Linked DNA regions of Daphnia pulex. The protein of the gene in region 1 purifies or fractionates together with the protein of each later gene. This does not show direct contact. Links are inferred from orthologs where the notes say so. Each region holds a gene or a part of one and is shown in the gene's direction. Other genes may lie near its edges. The genes, in order: probable cleavage and polyadenylation specificity factor subunit 2 and pre-mRNA 3'-end-processing factor FIP1-like.

What was found.
Region 2: the proteins of probable cleavage and polyadenylation specificity factor subunit 2 (region 1) and pre-mRNA 3'-end-processing factor FIP1-like purify together in Homo sapiens (affinity purification with mass spectrometry; 7 studies listed by BioGRID and IntAct, with this or other methods). This does not show direct contact. The link is inferred for Daphnia pulex from reciprocal best matches to the Homo sapiens genes CPSF2 and FIP1L1.

Annotation. Positions count from the first base shown.
Region 1 is NC_060028.1:937,479-941,800, reverse strand, and holds the start of probable cleavage and polyadenylation specificity factor subunit 2, read left to right. Parts: upstream 1-1,501; 5' UTR 1,502-1,637; coding exon 1,638-1,960; intron 1,961-2,020; coding exon 2,021-2,112; intron 2,113-2,173; coding exon 2,174-2,675; intron 2,676-2,734; coding exon 2,735-2,982; intron 2,983-3,051; coding exon 3,052-3,392; intron 3,393-3,461; coding exon 3,462-3,666; intron 3,667-3,733; coding exon 3,734-3,903; intron 3,904-3,970; coding exon 3,971-4,060; intron 4,061-4,129; coding exon 4,130-4,267; intron 4,268-4,322. Other genes in the region: distal membrane-arm assembly complex protein 2-like, read right to left, coding at 361-680, 745-1,324. UniProt on the Homo sapiens protein: Component of the cleavage and polyadenylation specificity factor (CPSF) complex that play a key role in pre-mRNA 3'-end formation, recognizing the AAUAAA signal sequence and interacting with poly(A) polymerase and other factors to bring about cleavage and poly(A) addition.
Region 2 is NC_060020.1:2,901,458-2,905,913, reverse strand, and holds pre-mRNA 3'-end-processing factor FIP1-like, read left to right. Parts: upstream 1-1,448; 5' UTR 1,449-1,521; coding exon 1,522-1,608; intron 1,609-1,672; coding exon 1,673-1,796; intron 1,797-1,926; coding exon 1,927-2,135; intron 2,136-2,201; coding exon 2,202-2,438; intron 2,439-2,496; coding exon 2,497-2,709; intron 2,710-2,797; coding exon 2,798-3,043; intron 3,044-3,105; coding exon 3,106-3,218; intron 3,219-3,281; coding exon 3,282-3,428; intron 3,429-3,500; coding exon 3,501-3,708; 3' UTR 3,709-3,795; downstream 3,796-4,456. Other genes in the region: pre-mRNA-splicing factor syf1 homolog, read right to left, coding at 20-152, 226-650, 719-842, 927-1,075, 1,144-1,185.

The DNA of each region.
Region 1 (4,322 bases):
ACATTAATGGTTATTATTTGGGAATTGAATAAATGAAAAAAAAAAAATAATCAATAACAAATTATGTGTGACCCCGTCCTTAATCCAAATATTGTTTAAGAGTTCGCCAAGTCCGCTAAAATTGTGTCATGTAAATTCGGTCCTCTTCATCTTTTCGTAACTACGTTCAATATTTTTCTTCTTGATTCAATTCTTTTGCGATTTGGAGAGAAAAAAAAAAACACCCAACCCGTTCATATTAGCCTTCATGTCTTTTTTTCCCAGTTAAAAGATGGAATAAACATTAACATTTATGTATTGATTCATAATAATTCCTCAAGAACAAAAATCGGCAAATGACTGTTGAAAGAACTTTACATTTTACTCGTGGGCCTCGTCATTTGTCAATAAAGACTCATCGCAATAAAGAATACCTCGGATGGTTAATTCAGGCAAAACGTCCTCAAGCATGAGGCATACAAGTTCAAGATTTTTAGCTTCCGGGTGACCGCCAACCAGAAGAGTTTTCAGTTTCTTCATCTTACTTAATGAAGCGATACCTTTATCTGTCACCAGTGGACAGTTTCGAATATCCAGATATTCCAACGTGTCACAAAATTCGCCGGAAATCCTGTCCAGGCACCAATCGTCAATACGGGGACACGACTCCAGGCTCAACCATTTGAGCTTCTCCATGTTTTCTAAAAGAAATGTCAAGGTTATGTGTTGGTTTACATTTTTTCATGAAACAGGATATTAATATACTCATGTTTTCCAATCCTTCATAGACAAGAGTCATTTTTGAACAGTCAACAGCTTCCATTTTATAAGATTCCAAGTAAAATCTGGGTAAATTCGGTATGATATCCGAATCAGGGTCTTCGACAATCCAGTCTTTATGGCCATAAAAGCGAACTTTGCCACCTCGAAAACAAATAAAATGACCAGTGGCTATTTCTGGGCCAAGAAACTCTGCTCTTTCTTTGACGTACAACTGTGATCTAACGAGCTTATCTTCCTTCCAATCACTCCACGCTTTTTTAACTCCATACGGCGAGAATTCGATCGCGTTAAGAACACTGATTACTTCAATTGCATAGTTCTTTTGACTGGAGAATAACTGAAAGACGGTTTTCTTGTTTTCAGCATACATTGCTTTGGGGAGTTCATATGTTACGCGATCCTCTTCTTCCTTCTTTTTCTCCACCTCTGCCTTGTCATTACCTAGTTTGGCAATTTGAGATATACCGGCCGTCGGTCTTGTGTTCGATGTACTGGTACATGATCTTCGGAAATGTTTAAGCGATAGCCTCAGTTGAGTTAAACGAGAATAAGACATTGCCATGGATTTATTTTTTCTAGTTACTGTACCGATAACACTCACTATACACACAGCTGGACTTTTTAACGAGTTTTTATTGTGAATTTTGTGAAAGAAATTGTCTGCTAGACGAGCAGCATTGCATGATACACTAATCTGGCCAATCCCATTTATTCTTTGAATAAAGATATCAGGCATCGTAGGATGAAACCAAGCAGACATTCCAATTTCGGTTATTGAGAATGCGATATGTTCCTACATGATTAATAGAGGAACACGTCAACAACAATCCAATTCAACTAATTTACTCATGATAAACAATCCGCAGTAGACAAATATGACGTCTATCATCAAGTTTTGCGCGCTTTCGGGCGCGCTTGACGATTCGCCACATTCGTACCTTCTCAAAGTTGACGATTTCACTTTCTTGCTGGACTGTGGATGGGATGAAAAGTGTTCAGAAGGATTTATACATGAACTAAAGAAGCATGTCAACAAAATTGATGCAGTGCTTCTATCCTATCCTGATCAGCTGCACTTGGGAGCTTTGCCATATGCAGTTGGAAAACTTGGACTAACATGTCCAGTGTATGCAACAGTTCCTGTTTACAAAATGGGTCAGATGTTTATGTACGATTGGTATCAATCCAAAGACAACATGTAAGTACATTGATTAATTCAAATTTCAATTCAAGATGACTGACATTTGTATCTATTCAGGGAAGACTTCGATCTATTCACTCTGGATGATGTTGACAATTCGTTTGACAAAGTTGTTCAGTTGAAATACAGCCAAAGTGTGCCTCTCAAAGGTATAACAAGTCCTAATATTTCATTCAAGTTTTTCATACTGAAATTACTACTTGTTTACAGGAAAGGGACAAGGATTGATCATCACACCCCTTCCAGCAGGGCACATGTTGGGAGGAACTGTGTGGAAAATAGTAAAAGATGGAGAAGAAGATATCATTTATGCTGTTGACTACAATCATAAAAAAGAACGCCACTTAAACGGTTGTGAGTTGGAGAAAATTCAGCGACCGTCTCTTCTCATTACCGATGCGTATAACACCCTTTACGCGCAACCCAGAAGGCGAAGTCGTGACGAAAAGCTCATGACCAACATTCTACAGACTCTTAGAGGAGGAGGAAACGTCCTTGTTGCTGTCGATACGGCTGGAAGAGTTCTCGAATTGGCTCATATGTTGGAGCAACTATGGAGAAATCAAGAATCTGGCTTGAGAGCCTACAGTTTGGCTCTTTTGAACAATGTGGCTTATAATGTCAACGAGTTCGCCAAGTCACAGATCGAATGGATGTCAGATAAATTAATGAAATCCTTTGAAGGGGCCAGGAATAATCCTTTTGGATTCAAGTATTCAATCTAGCATTTATAAAGTTTTAGAAGTAATATTAAAGCAAATTGTTCTTTAGATATTTGCAGCTGTGTCATACATTGCCAGAAGTCCTCCGTATTGCTGGCTCAAAAGTTGTTCTCTCAAGCTGCCCAGATCTGGAGTGTGGATTCGCCAGGGATTTATTTGCCTTATGGTGTTCTGATGCAAGAAACTCTATCATTCTAACCAGCCGGTCAGGACAAGGAACGCTGGGCCAGCGGCTACATGATCAGCGTAACTTGAAATCTGTCACGCTCGAGCTTAAACAACGAGTCAAACTAGAGGGTAAGCTAATTTGCTTTTGCGGACGCAACAAACAAATCTAATCTAGAACTCCATTAATTTTTTTTAAAGGTGCGGAATTGGAAGAATTCCGTAGAAAAGAACGCGAAAAAAATATTTTATCTGGGATAAAAATAAAAGATCAGATAGCGGCGGAGTCTAGTGAATCTGAAGACGAAGTCAAGAAAGGCCGACATGATATTGTTGTCCGGTCCGACGATAAAACGACAGGAGCAGTGCAACACTTTTTTAAAAGTTCCAAGAAACATCCTACCATGTTCCCATATTTTGAAGACAAAATCAAATTCGACGAGTATGGCGAAATTATCCGCCCGGAAGACTACGTCATTGCCGAGTCGGAAGATCACGAAATGGCCGATTATTCGGTTGAAAAGCCTAAATGGGAAGAAGAGGTATGATTTTTTGTCATTTTTAACTTCCAATGCATCGCTTTGAGTCTCATGATCATTTCTTTCGTTTAGCCGGAAGCAGAGTGCCCTACCAAGTGCATTTCTACCACAACGACCCTAGCAATCAATGCAAGCATCATGCATATTGATTTCGAAGGACGATCTGATGGTGAATCCATTATCAAACTGATTGAATCGATGAAACCGAAACGAACCATCGTCGTCAGGGGATCATCCGAATCCTGTCAAGCACTGCAAAATTTGTGTCTTTCAACCGGTAAAATTGATTTTAAGGCAGAAAATGAATATGCTAACCTAAATTTGTTGATATTTCTTTTATTAAGGATCATCTGATAATAAAGCATTTATAGCACGAAAAGGGGAAACAATAGATGCAACTATTGAAAGTCACATCTACCAAGTGAGGTTGAAAGACTCTTTACTTTCTTCACTTTCATTCGGTAAAGCCAAGGATGCTGAAGTCGCTTGGATTGATGCAAGGCTAACTTATCAAGTAAATCTTACAGTTAATCTTAAAATTGCTGGGGAAAAATAAGGAGTAATTGTTTTTCTTTCAACAGGCAGAGGACTTGAGGGACTTGGACGATAAAGAAAATAATTCGCTCCGTAAAGAACAAGCTCCGCTGTTAGAGCCTTTAGAACCTAAAGATGTAAATAATACTTTATACTTAAATAACGTAACAATTGAAAATAATTTTGAATGATTTAATCTGTTTTAGATTCCTGGCCACGAAACATCGTACATCAACGAACTAAAATTATCGGACTTTAAACAAGTACTTGTGCGTAATGGTATCTCGTCCGAGTTTATCGGTGGTGTTCTTTGGTGTTGTAACGGTAACGTTGCACTGCGTAGGGTAAGATCTAATATAATTAATAATTGTGATCAAATCATTTAACGAAATTTTATCG
Region 2 (4,456 bases), on another chromosome or scaffold:
CGACCACAAAGTATTTTACCTGTGTGAAGTCTCGTACTGTAGTAACTGTCTGAATGGCTTCTTCGTAAATATCTCTTGCTCTTTCAAACAAACCACTTCTAATATAGTAATCGGCAAGGGAATTCCAAAGCTGGCCAAGTTGATCAGTGTACCTACATAAGAATCCAGTAAATTATTCCTATGTTTGTAAAAATATTTGCATTTAATTTTTTTCCAGACACTCACCGTCGAAGACCTCCTCGAATGATTGCATCCACGTTAAGACTTTTAATTTGCTTGGGATTTTTCGAATTAAGTTCGCACAGTTCATTCCACAGTTGGTGGTTTGATTTTCCTGTCTTCGAAACAAAGCTGTCCTTGTTCACAATCTGGGCAAGTTTAACAGCTGCCTCATCAAGTCTGTCAATAGATTTTAAGTAATCGACAAATTCCTCTGCATCTTCGGTCGATAGTTTAAGAAAACGACGGAAAACTCGAACAGCTGTTTCTGGTATTGGATGCATTTTAACAAACTTCAAGTAGAGGGGCCAAATTCTGGAATGCTGGGTGATTGGCAAGGCTCTTAGAGCACGGTCAAAGACCTTTCTCGTAGTGGTAATCTTCTGTTGAAGAGTCAGAAACTTGCAATAGTCCATCCAAATCCTTGGCATCTATGGTATTCATTAAAAACATGGTATTTAATAATGTGTGATAATAATATAATTGGCATTTAAGATACCTTGTGCATGAATACCAATGCTCTTTCAAAAGTATTGTTGGCATCTTCATACAGTGGATCTGTTATACAGCGACCTTTAGTTTGCTTCCTTCTTAGGCAGAGATAACTGTACCATAGTTTGTAACTGTGAAGAGACAAACATGTGGATAGTTGAAAATGAGTACAAACTTATTTACTATGTACTACTACAAGAACCAATCAAACGAACCTGCCAGGCATTTCCTTCAAAGCTCTCTCATAAATCAAATTGACAACAACAGGAGGGGCATCCTTTTTGAACTCGCAATAGCGAAGCCAATGTTTGACAGAGTAAGGGTTCCGTAGAATCTCCTCTTCATACGCTAAATCTTCTTCACACTTTAAAGACAGAAGACATATTGTTAAAACCTATTAGTCAACTTCAATATAAAACAATGTATTATTACCAAAACAATGTCTCCAGTTTTCTTCCCTATACTTTTATCCATTTTGTTTATGAATTTTCTCGCAGCCACTCGGCTCAAATAAAATTTAACAAATAAATTTACGAACCAAACGTAAATGCACGTCTGCCGGGTGAAGTGTTGCCAAGTTGCACACTTACGTCTAACCCAAATTAAAGTTGAATTTTGTCCCTAATAGCGTCTTTTTATATAACGAGATCATTATAAAAATGGATTATCACAAGTTTTTATAGTAAAAATACCTTATTTTTGCGTTTGATGTGAAACAGCGACAGCCGACAAGCCACAAGCGTACATTCGCTGTTGTTTGTCCCCTCAGGCCTAAATTGAAGTGGGGTCTTCTGCTGTTTACAACCGAATATGGCCGACACTGTCCGGCACCCAGATGAGGCAGATAATTCTAATTCACAATTCCCTTATTCCTCGGAACAGTTACCAGATGAATACGTGAGTTTAAAAAAAAAATTATTGTTCGTCAACTGAAATTGATACTTGTCTCTTTTTTTTTCAGGGCGATGATGGAAAAATCGACCAAGACACCACCGGTAATGGAGAAATGTACGAAATCGAAAATGAAGATCATATTGCCATAGACAGAAATGACGGAAATACGGAATACGCTGGAGAAGGCTATGGTAATTTCATGTACATTTTTAATTATGGAAAAGTTCTTCAACTATTATCCCTTGTCTCTTTCCCTGTGTTGAATCGCTTGTCTGGTTTTCCCATAACAGTTTTAACATCCTGTATTTTCTATTGTAAAAGATCCAGAAGAAGCTGCAGAGACTAACGAAGAAAAGGATGAGAGACAAGATGAAGATCAAGACAATGATGACGATGAGGATGATGAAAGTGATGATGACGTACAAATCACGATTGGTGACATAAAATCTGGCCCAGCAGCTTATGCTGGTTTTAATGTCAAAAGAGGAACAGCTGGAACAACGGCACAAGGATTGGGGGAAAAGAGCAAAGTATACATTGAGCTACATCATGTTTGATGCAAGAGTTTGTTTTTAACATATGTATCTTATCTTAAGTTCACTGTGGAAGAGTTCGAAGGCTCAATGGCGATTAACGGTGTACCAGCACATGAATTTAGTTTGGATTCGCTGGAAGATAAACCTTGGAGGAAGCCTGGTGCTGATATCACTGATTATTTTAATTACGGTTTCAATGAAATAACGTGGCAAGCATATTGTGAGAGACAAAGGCGATCCCGTATGGAGTCTGGGGCTGGTGTTCCGGCTAGCCTTGGATTAGGACCCCCACCCAAGGTAATAAAATACGTAAACAAATGAAGCTCAAAGACGATATTATTATTTTTTGATTCAGATGATGGCGACCCCGGCCCAAGCGATTCCGATATCAGTGGTTAACGAAAATTCAAAATATGCGGGGTCAGTGGTTGTGAAAAAAGCAGGCCCTCCGCCAGCACGCAAAATGGCTGGTGCCATTGATGTCATTGGTGGAGGGAATCTATCTTCACGCCGACCAGAATCAGGCGTTTCACCTGCTCCTTCTATGGAGGAGCAACCTCCCGAAGTGGTAAGGCCCCGTATCCTTAATAAAATATTCATCCAAAGTCAACCAAAAAACTTTAAAGTTTATTATTTAAATTTCATTTTAATATCAGCCTGAAGCTCCTGTGGAGAAACCTCCCGTATCGATCGATTTCTCACGTCCTCCTCCTGGTTTTCCAAATATGGCTCTACCTCCTCCATTTGGTATGCCGCCACCAGTAATTCCACCACCAATGATGTTACCACCACCACCTATAGTACCTGATCCCTACGCCAATGAGTTCATGGCTGGCCCAGGAGCTCCTGGCGATGATTATTACCAATACGAACCTACTCAGGATTCACAGTGGGGATCTTCGGTAAGGATTTTAAAGACCATAACAGAAAACAAAACAAAATAAAAATAACTTTTTCCTCTTAGGACTGGAGAGGACCACCACCTATGGGAATACCACTACCAATGGGAATGAACCCACCGGGAAAGCAAAGAAGAGAGAGCCTGGGGACCCCTCCTGTTCCTGGAGAAGAATCTCGGTACTGTATATAAGTGGTACTCGATCTCCGTACAGCATTTGATTAGCTCTTCCTTGCAAATAGGATAAGCAGCAGCAGTCGAAGGCGCCGTAGCTCGCGCAGTCGCTCCCCTAAAGACGACCGAGAAAAAGAAAAAGAAGTGGAAAAGGATCGAGGCAAAGACAGAGAAAGGGATCGTGACCGCGATAGAGACCGAGATCGCGACAAACGGTAAGAGGAAAATCAAACGTTGACGAGCTTCTTCTGAAAATGCAATTGATATATTTCGTTCAACTTACACAGGGATCGACGCTCGGATAAGGACAAAGAGCGTGTAAGTGGCCGTGACCGGGAAAGAGATCGTGATCGTGACCGAGGAGAAAGAGACCGTAGTGATCGTAGACGTCGTCACCGAGGCAGTAAAAGTCGGAGTCGGAGTCCCACTTCTCATAAGCGTTCCTCCAAGCGCTCAAAGAGGGACAGAAGTAAAAGCAAAAGCTCGTCTGATTAGTTTTCGATACTCGGATTTCACTCCCTGCCTTTGTTAAATTTTGCGCAATTGGCCCAATTTAAAAAAATACACTCCTTTTTTCATTTACCTATTTTTGTTGATTTTCCTGAGTTATTCGTCTTAATCACAATTTATTTCAGCCCATCGAATAAGATTCAAAAAGAAAAGATTCCAACGCATATATTCGGGATGTATTTTTTTTCAAAAATGAAAGAGGGTAAAGTCGGTTGCACAAAGAGTGTGTGCTATTACGGAAATACATATGGAGGTGTTGTCTTTTTTCCAACCACAGAATTTAATATTAAAAAAAAGGAAAACTGTCTTTTCGATGGAGAGATTGAAAGAGAGAAGCGTTGATTTTCCAGAAAAAAAGGATTTGAGGAAGGAAGCGGATGTGGGATGTCGAAGAGCGAATTCTGGAGGGGACGATTTTTTTGTACATGAATCATGTTTACAAGGGGGGTGGGATAGGGGAGGAAAGAGCACTAGTGATATTTTTTACAGCATTTCGTAATTTCAATACATAACACCAGCGTTTACAAGGATACATTCTAATAATAAAGGTCGAAATAAAAGCCAAAATCAGGAAATAACTGACGCAAAAACCAAGGGATTGTAGGAAGGGGAGAGCTACACAAGAAAAGAAGGGACAAATGTCCAAAAGGAAGTTGGTGAGAATTAAAGAGAAAAAAGAAACAATTCACAAAATATTGGTCCGTGTGAGAAGAATCCACGGGATAAAGAGCAA